Linked DNA regions of Saccharomyces cerevisiae S288C. Each later gene encodes a partner of the first gene's protein in a complex. Each region holds a gene or a part of one and is shown in the gene's direction. Other genes may lie near its edges.

Region 1 (3,242 bases):
AACATTACATTCAGGATCAATGTCAATGGTTCATTGAAAGTTTACAAATGCTATAAGACTAAATTATGGGGTTATGAAAGGAACAAAGAATTGAATGACCTTGTGTACAAGTTTACAAATAATTTCTGGAAAAACGGATACAACCACATTGTCGATAGATTGGATTACAGTCGTGCTGTTAAAACTGTTCGATTCAAAAATGGGCTGAAACAGTTAACAGTGTCAAAAGATGAAAACGTTTGCAGTGGAGAGATGGACAGCGATGAGAATATGTCAGAAGAGGAGAAGGAGAAAAATAATGTTATTCTTAATGACCTATTAAAGGACTTTGACTTCGATAAGCCAATGACGTTGAATGATTCGGACGAGGAACTTCTGACAGAGCAACGTAAAGGAGAGGAAGAAGAAGAAGAAGAAGAAGAAAAAGAAGTAAACGCTCCCGAATACGAGAATGTTAATAAGACGAAGGACCAGAGCACCCTACCACAAGAAAAACCAGAGGAAAGGAAAGAACAGGACGAGGGCGACGGGCAGGAGGATAATGAATTTATTCCGACTTTCACCAAGGAAATTGGTCAAGGTACAATAAGCAACACTGAGACGTTAAGAAACCTATTCAACCCCAACGAGGCAGAACCTGTATCACAATTCAAATTGATTGAAGATTCTGATAATGATATTGATCATGCGAAAGATGTTGATGTGAACCAACTGGAGGAAGAAGTAAGTAAATCATCTGACACCCTAGGTTTGACATCGGCTCCCGTACCACATGTATCTAGAGATAAAGATAACAAAAATTTCTTGTTTTTCCCTCATTTGCAATCGCCATTTTTAGTAGGACAAACACAGTTGAGTAAAGTAAGGGCTCCTGGAAGAGAAACAATGCTATCGAACTGGGATGAGGAGTTCTGGGCTAACAGAGGTAATTGGACCCGTGATATGAGGCGCAAAATGAAAGATGCATTGAAGCACCGTAAGAGGAAACAATCAAAGAGCGGGCTTCTTCTATAGTGAGTATATATACATATATAGTATAGATTTCTCTGCGCTTATTCAAAAAGCATTTTTACCGAACTTAACAGCCATTTCCACTGCTGCAGCACCCCAATCTTCACCATGGTTGTGCATGGAGTGCGCTTCATCGATGCCAGCTCTGGCCAGGGCTTGTTCTTCAGTCATGCAAGTTAAGAGGCCAAAAATGACGGGCATGTCGACTTTTTCTTGTAAGTTCATCAATGCGTGAGTGGTGGAATCTGAAATGTATTCAAAGTGCATTGTACTACCTTTGATAAGTACACCAATAGGAATTACAACATCTAGCGGCTTTCCCAACTTCGCTTGTCTGTCAACAAACCTTTTTGTCCCCCAAGGTAATTCATAGGATCCAGGAACAGTTTCAATTATTATGTTATTTTCCTCGACACCAAGGGAAGCCATTCTTTCAATAGCACCTTTCACAAGAGCGTCAATAATGACACGGTTCCAACGGGCATGAATGATACCGACCCTGATTTTGGAACCGTCATAAACTTGATCTGGTTTGCCTAATCCTTTAACTGCCATACTGCGTTATACTGCGTTATACTGCGTTATACTGCGTTATACTGTTCCTTTTCATGCTTTTGAACCCACTCTCTGGGGCAATATTTCATTGTTCTCTTTTATATGGCTACTTTTCTCTTATTAACGGGGACCTCCGAAAATATCTCCGCTCCCAGAATATGTCATAGAGCCTTAAGAATTGACCTACGGGAACCTCCGAAAACCTCCCAGAGTTTTAATTATACGTCATAGAACCCCAGACCTCTTCGATGAAGTTTCGTGGAAACTAGTTCCATCCACCTCACTTAAAGTTACCTTAATGAAAGCCATCATTGTTTACTAGTAAGGGTAGTGGTGTGACCCGGACCTGATCGGCTGAAATTTTTTGGTTTAGAGAAGCATATTAAACCAACAGCACAAACGGATGCTTCAGCAGCTCATCTCCAGCATTTCGACTAACCAAGAGCATACAAGATGTCTACGTTCATATTCCCTGGTGATAGCTTTCCTGTAGACCCTACTACACCTGTTAAACTGGGCCCTGGCATATATTGTGACCCCAATACTCAAGAAATACGACCTGTTAATACAGGTGTTTTGCATGTTTCCGCTAAGGGTAAGAGTGGTGTTCAGACCGCATATATAGACTATTCTAGTAAGAGATACATTCCATCTGTAAACGATTTTGTAATCGGTGTCATTATAGGGACATTTTCAGATAGCTATAAGGTTTCGTTGCAAAATTTCTCCTCCAGTGTTTCACTATCGTATATGGCTTTTCCCAATGCTTCAAAGAAAAACAGGCCAACTTTGCAAGTGGGAGATCTAGTGTATGCGAGAGTTTGTACCGCAGAAAAGGAACTAGAAGCCGAAATAGAATGTTTTGACTCAACTACAGGACGCGATGCTGGTTTCGGGATATTGGAAGATGGTATGATCATTGACGTGAATTTGAATTTCGCACGCCAGTTGCTTTTCAATAATGACTTCCCGTTATTAAAAGTGTTGGCTGCACATACCAAGTTTGAAGTCGCCATTGGTCTCAATGGGAAGATCTGGGTTAAGTGCGAGGAATTATCTAACACTTTAGCTTGTTATAGAACCATAATGGAGTGTTGTCAAAAAAACGACACGGCAGCGTTCAAGGATATAGCAAAAAGACAGTTTAAAGAAATACTTACGGTCAAGGAGGAGTAGACTACCATGTATAATTAAAATATATAAACACATAGATATCATCAATATTTCACGTCCTTTTTTAATGTCCTTTGAAAAAGCGAAGGAAAAAAAGTTTCATCTCATCTCATCTCATCACATCTAACATATGGCCATAAAATTTCGACAACTATAGTGCACATATCTAATACGATGAAGAATCTGACCACTATAAAGCAAACGAACAAGAATGTCAAACAAGAAAGACGTAAAAAGTACGCTGATTTGGCGATTCAAGGCACAAATAACTCCTCAATTGCTTCTAAAAGATCGGTAGAGTTATTGTATTTGCCAAAACTGAGTTCGGCTAATAATTTCCAAATGGATAAGAATAATAAACTGTTGGAATATTTTAAATTCTTTGTTCCTAAGAAAATTAAAAGATCTCCCTGTATTAACAGAGGTTATTGGTTGAGGTTATTTGCCATCAGGTCAAGATTGAACTCCATCATTGAACAAACGCCACAGGATAAAAAGATAGT
Region 2 (3,276 bases), on another chromosome or scaffold:
TTATCCCCAGTCATGGGAGAGACCTTGCAGTTTGTATTGAAACCGTACTTCTCAATAAAATATTTACAGATGGTACCCGCTATCAAATTTTTCATGGGTGCTCTCATTAATTTTTGTCTGATAGTTTTATCCTTAGAAGAACTATCAATTAGATGTAGTAGCTCATCACTGAATTTTCTTTCACGTATATCATAAAGGTTCATACCACAGGCATCTGCCTCCTCTAATTCAACAAGATGGCCCACTAAGATAGAAGTCAAAAAATTAGACACTAAAGAAATGGTCTTTGTTTTTTCGTAAGCTTCTGGTTCTAATTGTGCAATTTTCAGAATTTGAGGACCAGTAAATCTAAAATGGGCTCTGGACCCTGTTAATTGAGCCATTTTTTCAGGCCCACCTATGCACTCTTCAAACTCTTGACATTGCTTTGCAGTACTGTGGTCTTGCCAATTGGGGGCGGTTTGCCTTGCAAATGCTACAGAGCTCACGTAGTGCAATAAATCTTTTTCCGGTTTCTTATTCAATTGCTCTAACAGAGATTCGGCTTGGGAGGACCAGTAGACAGACCCGTGCTGCTGGCAGGACCCTGAGACGGCCATAACTTTGTTCAATGGAAATTTAGCCTCGCGATATTTCGAGAGAACCAGATCTAGAGCCTCTAACCACATGGCTACGGGACATTCGATAGTGTCGCCGTGTATATAGACACCCTTCTTTGTGTGATAATGCGGAAGATCCTTTTCAAATTCCACTGTTTCTGAATGGACAATTTTTAGGTCCTGGTTAATGGCGAGACATTTCAGTTGTTGGGTCGAAAGATCAAACCCAAGATAGTATGAGTCTAAAGACATTGTGTTGGAAACCTCTCTTGTCTGTCTCTGAATTACTGAACACAACATTAAAGTACTAATCTCATCCTCCTTTTGTTTTTCTCGAGAGGGCCCCCTTATTCGTCCGCCTGAGATTGCATTGGCCGAATTGAAAAGTGACAGTTATGCACCTCAGCGGCTATTCCCTGCGTCGCTTGCTGAAGATTGAGGATTATAGGAAGTAGTAAGCTGGAAATGGTAATTTGTAAAAAGAAAATTTCTAATACTGTGACAATGTTATTAAATCGGGGTTGTTTTTGTTTGGGGCGGCCAGCGGAATAATTTGTTTTCAAGGACAGCAGAAGCTCAGAAGAACAAAATCTCCGTGATCTTTTAAACTTTTTTCCATTCTGATGGAATAATGGTCTTGATCCCCTAAATATTTCCTTTTTTATTGCAATTATGATAGAAATTAATAGTAGTCTATGCTGGATGATATATATATCTCTTTTGAGCTTGCTTCAAATTTTTTCCCGTTATAATGATGAGTGTTTTGCTTATTAAGGGTCTAGGACATTTCTATCAGTTTCTATACCAAAAGAAGAAAAAGTGGAGAATTGTTTGTTTATTTTAATATTTTGTTCTTTAGTTTTAAAAATTCAGAAGAGAAAAAAATTTTATTTGTCACAAGGAAATAAAACATAAACAAAAAAGAAAAATTAAGATTTGCAATTCTGCCGCTTAAGCAAAAGTAGATCATTCACTGGAATATATATATATAAACGCATTTATAATCTTGTAACGTGCACTCAATTTAGCTACGAAAGCCAACCAGCAAGGAACCTTTTATTTGAGTAGGTACATTTACATCTTCGGGTAACGCGGTGAAATTGAAAAATTTTAAGGCATTAATAATTGAAAAGCTAGAAGAAATGGATGAATGAATGACATTGCGAACCATTGTGCAATGAACATCATCCAAAAGAAAACATCATTTACACATATTTTCTTTCCAGGGTCCCACTGGTAAAATCTATTAACATATAAAAAGATTTACAAAAAAACTTTAGTGCCATAACTACAGCAGGATCATCATATGTCAAGACTAGAAATATACTCGCCAGAAGGGCTACGTCTCGATGGACGTCGATGGAATGAACTCCGCCGTTTTGAAAGTTCCATCAACACACATCCGCACGCTGCAGACGGTTCATCCTACATGGAACAAGGTAACAACAAAATTATCACTCTTGTTAAAGGTCCAAAAGAGCCAAGATTGAAATCTCAAATGGATACCTCAAAGGCTTTATTGAACGTATCGGTAAACATTACAAAATTCTCCAAATTCGAAAGAAGTAAATCAAGCCACAAGAATGAAAGGCGTGTTCTTGAGATACAAACCTCCCTGGTGAGGATGTTTGAGAAGAATGTCATGCTGAATATCTACCCCAGAACAGTTATCGATATCGAGATCCATGTCCTTGAGCAAGATGGCGGTATTATGGGATCTTTAATCAACGGTATTACCCTCGCTTTAATAGATGCCGGTATATCAATGTTCGATTACATAAGTGGTATATCCGTCGGGCTGTACGATACTACCCCATTATTAGATACCAATTCATTAGAAGAAAATGCTATGAGTACAGTGACACTAGGTGTGGTAGGGAAGTCAGAAAAACTTTCTCTTTTATTGGTGGAAGACAAAATTCCGTTAGATAGGTTAGAGAACGTTCTTGCCATCGGCATCGCAGGTGCTCATAGGGTAAGAGATTTGATGGATGAAGAACTGAGGAAACATGCTCAGAAAAGAGTCAGTAACGCCTCTGCTAGGTAGAATAAAAAACGCCATTAATTGCCACTGTTTATATAAAAGTACATAAAAAACAGTAAAATTGAAAATTGAACGCATTTACATTTTCGTGTTTCTACCGTAAAGCAAAACGCTTACAGTTTTTTCTTACCTATTGATGCGAATAAATCCTTTGGTTTCATAGAATGCTGGAAAACTTTTCTCCTTAAGTGCGTTACATTTTGGTTGACACTAGCAACCGTGTTAATGACAGTATGCTTCTTACTCAAATCGTCCGCGTTCGCATATGCTTCCCTAACGTGACTATGCTGCTTATACTCCTCAGCTATGAAATCCTTATCCTTATTAGAGGATGATTTTAGCGTATAATTTATCCATGTTTGTATCCCCGTATCATATTCATCTAGCTCACGCTTATAATTTCTCAACTGTTCTATCTTACCGGCGTGCGAAGTCTTACTGTTCAGTAGTTTATTCATATCTAATTTCGGTAAGTTATTCTGCTGCCCCAATTTCGCCATTTCTTCAGTACTGGGTTCATGGACGCTTGTCATTTCGCCTTGAGATACTGTTCTGTTTTCACTTTTGAAAGATGCACTGCGCGCTGCCAAATCATTGGCAGTATTGTTACTATTATCATTATCTGTTGTACTA
Region 3 (3,425 bases), on another chromosome or scaffold:
CAAAAGAAGAACACTTTATGCTAATGCCGTCAACGACGGAATAGTTCCCTTGTACTCCTCTTCTTTACTTTTTTTGGACTACTCTCAATTACTTCAGAAACTGGGAGGTCAAACTACGGCACCTTGTGATCCTCTCTTCCAGCCTGAAGTAAGTCCTATTGGGGAACTTCCAAATCATAGCGATGTTGCTAATGATGATGATGGAATCAATGCATCGTCATGGAACACGTTTTGGAAGAGCAAGGAAAATAACTGCGACAAGAAATCTAAACGCTTGATGAATGCTTCCGTCATCAAATCTATGAAGTCTGTGCTTCTATCACCATGCCCCGACGCAAAGTTCTTCTCAGATCCCGATGCAAGGGTCGCAACAATCATACATGATAAGATCTACACAGAAAAGAATTTACCGCCTCCATCACCAACACTTTATGAAGGAACAGCAGCCAAGGAAGGCGAAACGAGGAAGACGAGAAAAGAGATGGAGGAAATCATAGCACGCCGCTGGCACAAGGGGATGCATTGGAGGAAAGTCGTGGTATTGCTGAAACCAGATGCCCACAATAACATCATCGTAAGAAGAAGGTTTTCCAACGCTTACGGCTGGCCGGTGGTTGACCACCTTGTTACCGCCCATTTCCAAAGAGATGACCCAATCGCCTCACCAATGCAAGATAAACAGTTTGCTGAGGAAGATATAAACATGGCAACCGGAGGGGTGGAACCAAACAAGTTCTACTCATGGCTCACCAAGATCGAGGATCCTAGTGTGTACCATGGTGGAATAGTCTCCACAGCTAGCCAGCTCGCCAGCTCCTGGATTAGCAAGCATTCCTCTGTGACAGATTGACTGTCTATCTTGACGTCATCCCGGGATTGACTTGCAATTTACTATTGTCCACACCTACGAAAGTCCATTTTACTTCGTAGTTCGATAAATGCGCTTACGGGTCTTTTTCGAGCGGGACAACTCTTCAGCTCCTCCCCTAAAACCGAGGCCGAATATCCCTTCTCCATATAAATAAGACACTTTTCACCAGGAAAACAATACTTCAGAAGCTTATTTCTCTTGACAAAAAGAGGGGTAAGATCTTTATAAAACATAAAGCAAATCAAAACATAATAACTACTACAAGTAACATAATGTGCTCAGCAGGCGGTATCAGAAGACCAATCCAGATCGAAGAATTTAAGACGGCGATAAGCGGCATGTCCGACATGGAGTTGGCACAGATTAAAACAGAAATTGAGAACAGTATCAATCATTTGCAGAGGTCTAACGCCCGCTTGGGTAAATACATAGCTAAGTTGGAGGGTGCTGACGACCGTCTTGAAGCTGACGACAGCGACGACTTGGAGAACATTGATTCGGGAGACCTGGCGCTGTACAAGGACTCTGTCAGGGAGAACGAAATTGTGCTAAACAATTACAATGAGAGAGTGGACGCATTGGAGCAAGAAACGGTATATAGAAAGACGGGCCATGGCAAGAGTAAGCACGAGGTAGAGGCAAAGGACAACACCAACAAGGGCCCTGACGTTGACATGGACAATTCAAATGTGGACGTCGTGACACCAAACAGCATATTCATTTAAGAGACGGGATTTAGTTTTACTGCGCATCATTTTCACGTCATACTCTTTGTCTCTCTGTTCTATCTCTTCGTATAAATATTTCAATAACTCCATTTGTCTATTCTATCTACCCGTTCTATCCTTACTACTAGATATCTTAAAGAAATAATAAAATAAGTAAATACAAAAAAAACTCGCTATTAATAATTTATCTCCGAAAGCCCTAGGGTGTGCTTTTCTTCCGTGCCCTAGTCTATTATTTTGAACCCTAGTTGGCGAAATTTTTTTCTAATATTCAGAAAAAAGAAACGTAGAGCTTATATGGTGAAGGAGTACAATGATACTAATAGTCTGTAGACGGCAAAAGGCATTCTTTTTGACTAGCACAACGACAGTTTGAGATTCTGTTGAAATAATCATTTATGTCTCTTTCGGTCGCCGAAAAGTCGTACCTATACGATTCACTAGCAAGCACGCCTTCAATTAGGCCCGATGGAAGACTACCTCATCAATTCAGACCTATAGAAATATTTACTGACTTCCTACCAAGTTCCAATGGATCGTCCAGAATTATAGCTAGTGATGGAAGTGAATGTATCGTGAGCATTAAGTCCAAAGTTGTGGATCATCATGTGGAGAATGAACTACTTCAGGTCGATGTAGATATCGCAGGCCAAAGAGATGACGCGCTGGTAGTAGAGACAATCACTTCTTTACTGAACAAGGTTTTGAAGTCTGGTAGCGGAGTAGATTCCTCAAAGTTGCAATTGACAAAAAAGTACAGCTTCAAAATATTTGTCGATGTTCTGGTCATTTCATCACATTCACACCCAGTTTCTTTAATATCCTTTGCTATTTATTCAGCGTTGAACTCCACATACCTACCGAAACTTATTTCAGCTTTTGACGACTTAGAGGTGGAAGAACTTCCTACGTTTCATGATTACGACATGGTTAAGCTTGACATTAATCCGCCTTTAGTGTTTATATTGGCCGTTGTAGGCAACAATATGCTATTGGACCCTGCAGCCAACGAAAGCGAAGTGGCCAATAATGGCCTAATCATTTCCTGGTCTAATGGTAAGATTACATCACCTATCAGATCAGTAGCATTGAATGATTCAAACGTTAAAAGCTTTAAACCTCATTTGTTGAAGCAAGGTCTTGCAATGGTGGAGAAATACGCCCCCGACGTAGTACGATCACTGGAGAATTTATAAAAATATAGTCACAATTAGATAAAAAGACAAATTAGTTTACATACTAAAAACTTCATGGTTAACAAAAGTGGGAATGAAACCTGATTCTTACATGTGTTGAACTGTATAGGAATGAACGATAACTGCGGTTGCCGTTTGAATATTCATTGATCTGATCACACCAAATTGTTGAATCTCTAAACATAAATCCAATTCGCTTAACAAAGTCCCCGGAATACCGAATGCTTCGGTTCCTAGCAAGATCAATGATTTTTTAGGGAATTGGAAATTGTTGTCTAGCTTCACTGATTTATCCGTTTGCTCTAGCCCAATTAATGTGTACCCTTCCTTCTTTTTCTCTTTCATGAAACTTGCAATCTCATCTAGGGCAACTTCCTCCATGGGCATCCATCTATCAGCAGTCACAGCAACATTTTTAAATTGAGGATGGTTTTTGACTTTGATGTCTTGTACAGTAAGCAGTCCCACACCTAAAACATCACATAACCTACAAATACCTCCCAGGTTTGGCGGCTTATCAACTAATGAAGATACCACAATCAATTCAGAACGTGTAACGACATCATTCGATTTTTTATTGTCCAGATCCAGAACGGTTTCCCAAGCTCCACTTTTTGTTTGCAGTGGAGA

The links. Proteins that work in one complex are often made in the same cells at the same time.
Region 2: RRP40 (region 1) and SKI6 share a complex: the UniProt entries of both Saccharomyces cerevisiae proteins name them as parts of the RNA exosome complex.
Region 3: RRP40 (region 1) and RRP42 share a complex: the UniProt entries of both Saccharomyces cerevisiae proteins name them as parts of the RNA exosome complex.

What each region holds. Positions count from the first base shown.
Region 1 is NC_001147.6:53,539-56,780, forward strand, and holds RRP40 (exosome non-catalytic core subunit RRP40), read left to right. Parts: upstream 1-2,019; coding exon 2,020-2,742; downstream 2,743-3,242. Other genes in the region: NOP8 (Nop8p), read left to right, coding at 1-1,014; lumazine synthase RIB4, read right to left, coding at 1,057-1,566; tRNA methyltransferase PPM2, read left to right, coding at 2,914-3,242. UniProt on the Saccharomyces cerevisiae protein: Non-catalytic component of the RNA exosome complex which has 3'->5' exoribonuclease activity and participates in a multitude of cellular RNA processing and degradation events.
Region 2 is NC_001139.9:886,977-890,252, forward strand, and holds SKI6 (exosome non-catalytic core subunit SKI6), read left to right. Parts: upstream 1-1,905; coding exon 1,906-2,646; downstream 2,647-3,276. Other genes in the region: XKS1 (xylulokinase), read right to left, coding at 1-899; FYV8 (Fyv8p), read right to left, coding at 2,757-3,276. UniProt on the Saccharomyces cerevisiae protein: Non-catalytic component of the RNA exosome complex which has 3'->5' exoribonuclease activity and participates in a multitude of cellular RNA processing and degradation events.
Region 3 is NC_001136.10:262,683-266,107, reverse strand, and holds RRP42 (exosome non-catalytic core subunit RRP42), read left to right. Parts: upstream 1-1,997; coding exon 1,998-2,795; downstream 2,796-3,425. Other genes in the region: YDL109C (putative lipase), read left to right, coding at 1-850; TMA17 (Tma17p), read left to right, coding at 1,144-1,596; TRM3 (tRNA (guanosine(18)-2'-O)-methyltransferase), read right to left, coding at 2,883-3,425. UniProt on the Saccharomyces cerevisiae protein: Non-catalytic component of the RNA exosome complex which has 3'->5' exoribonuclease activity and participates in a multitude of cellular RNA processing and degradation events.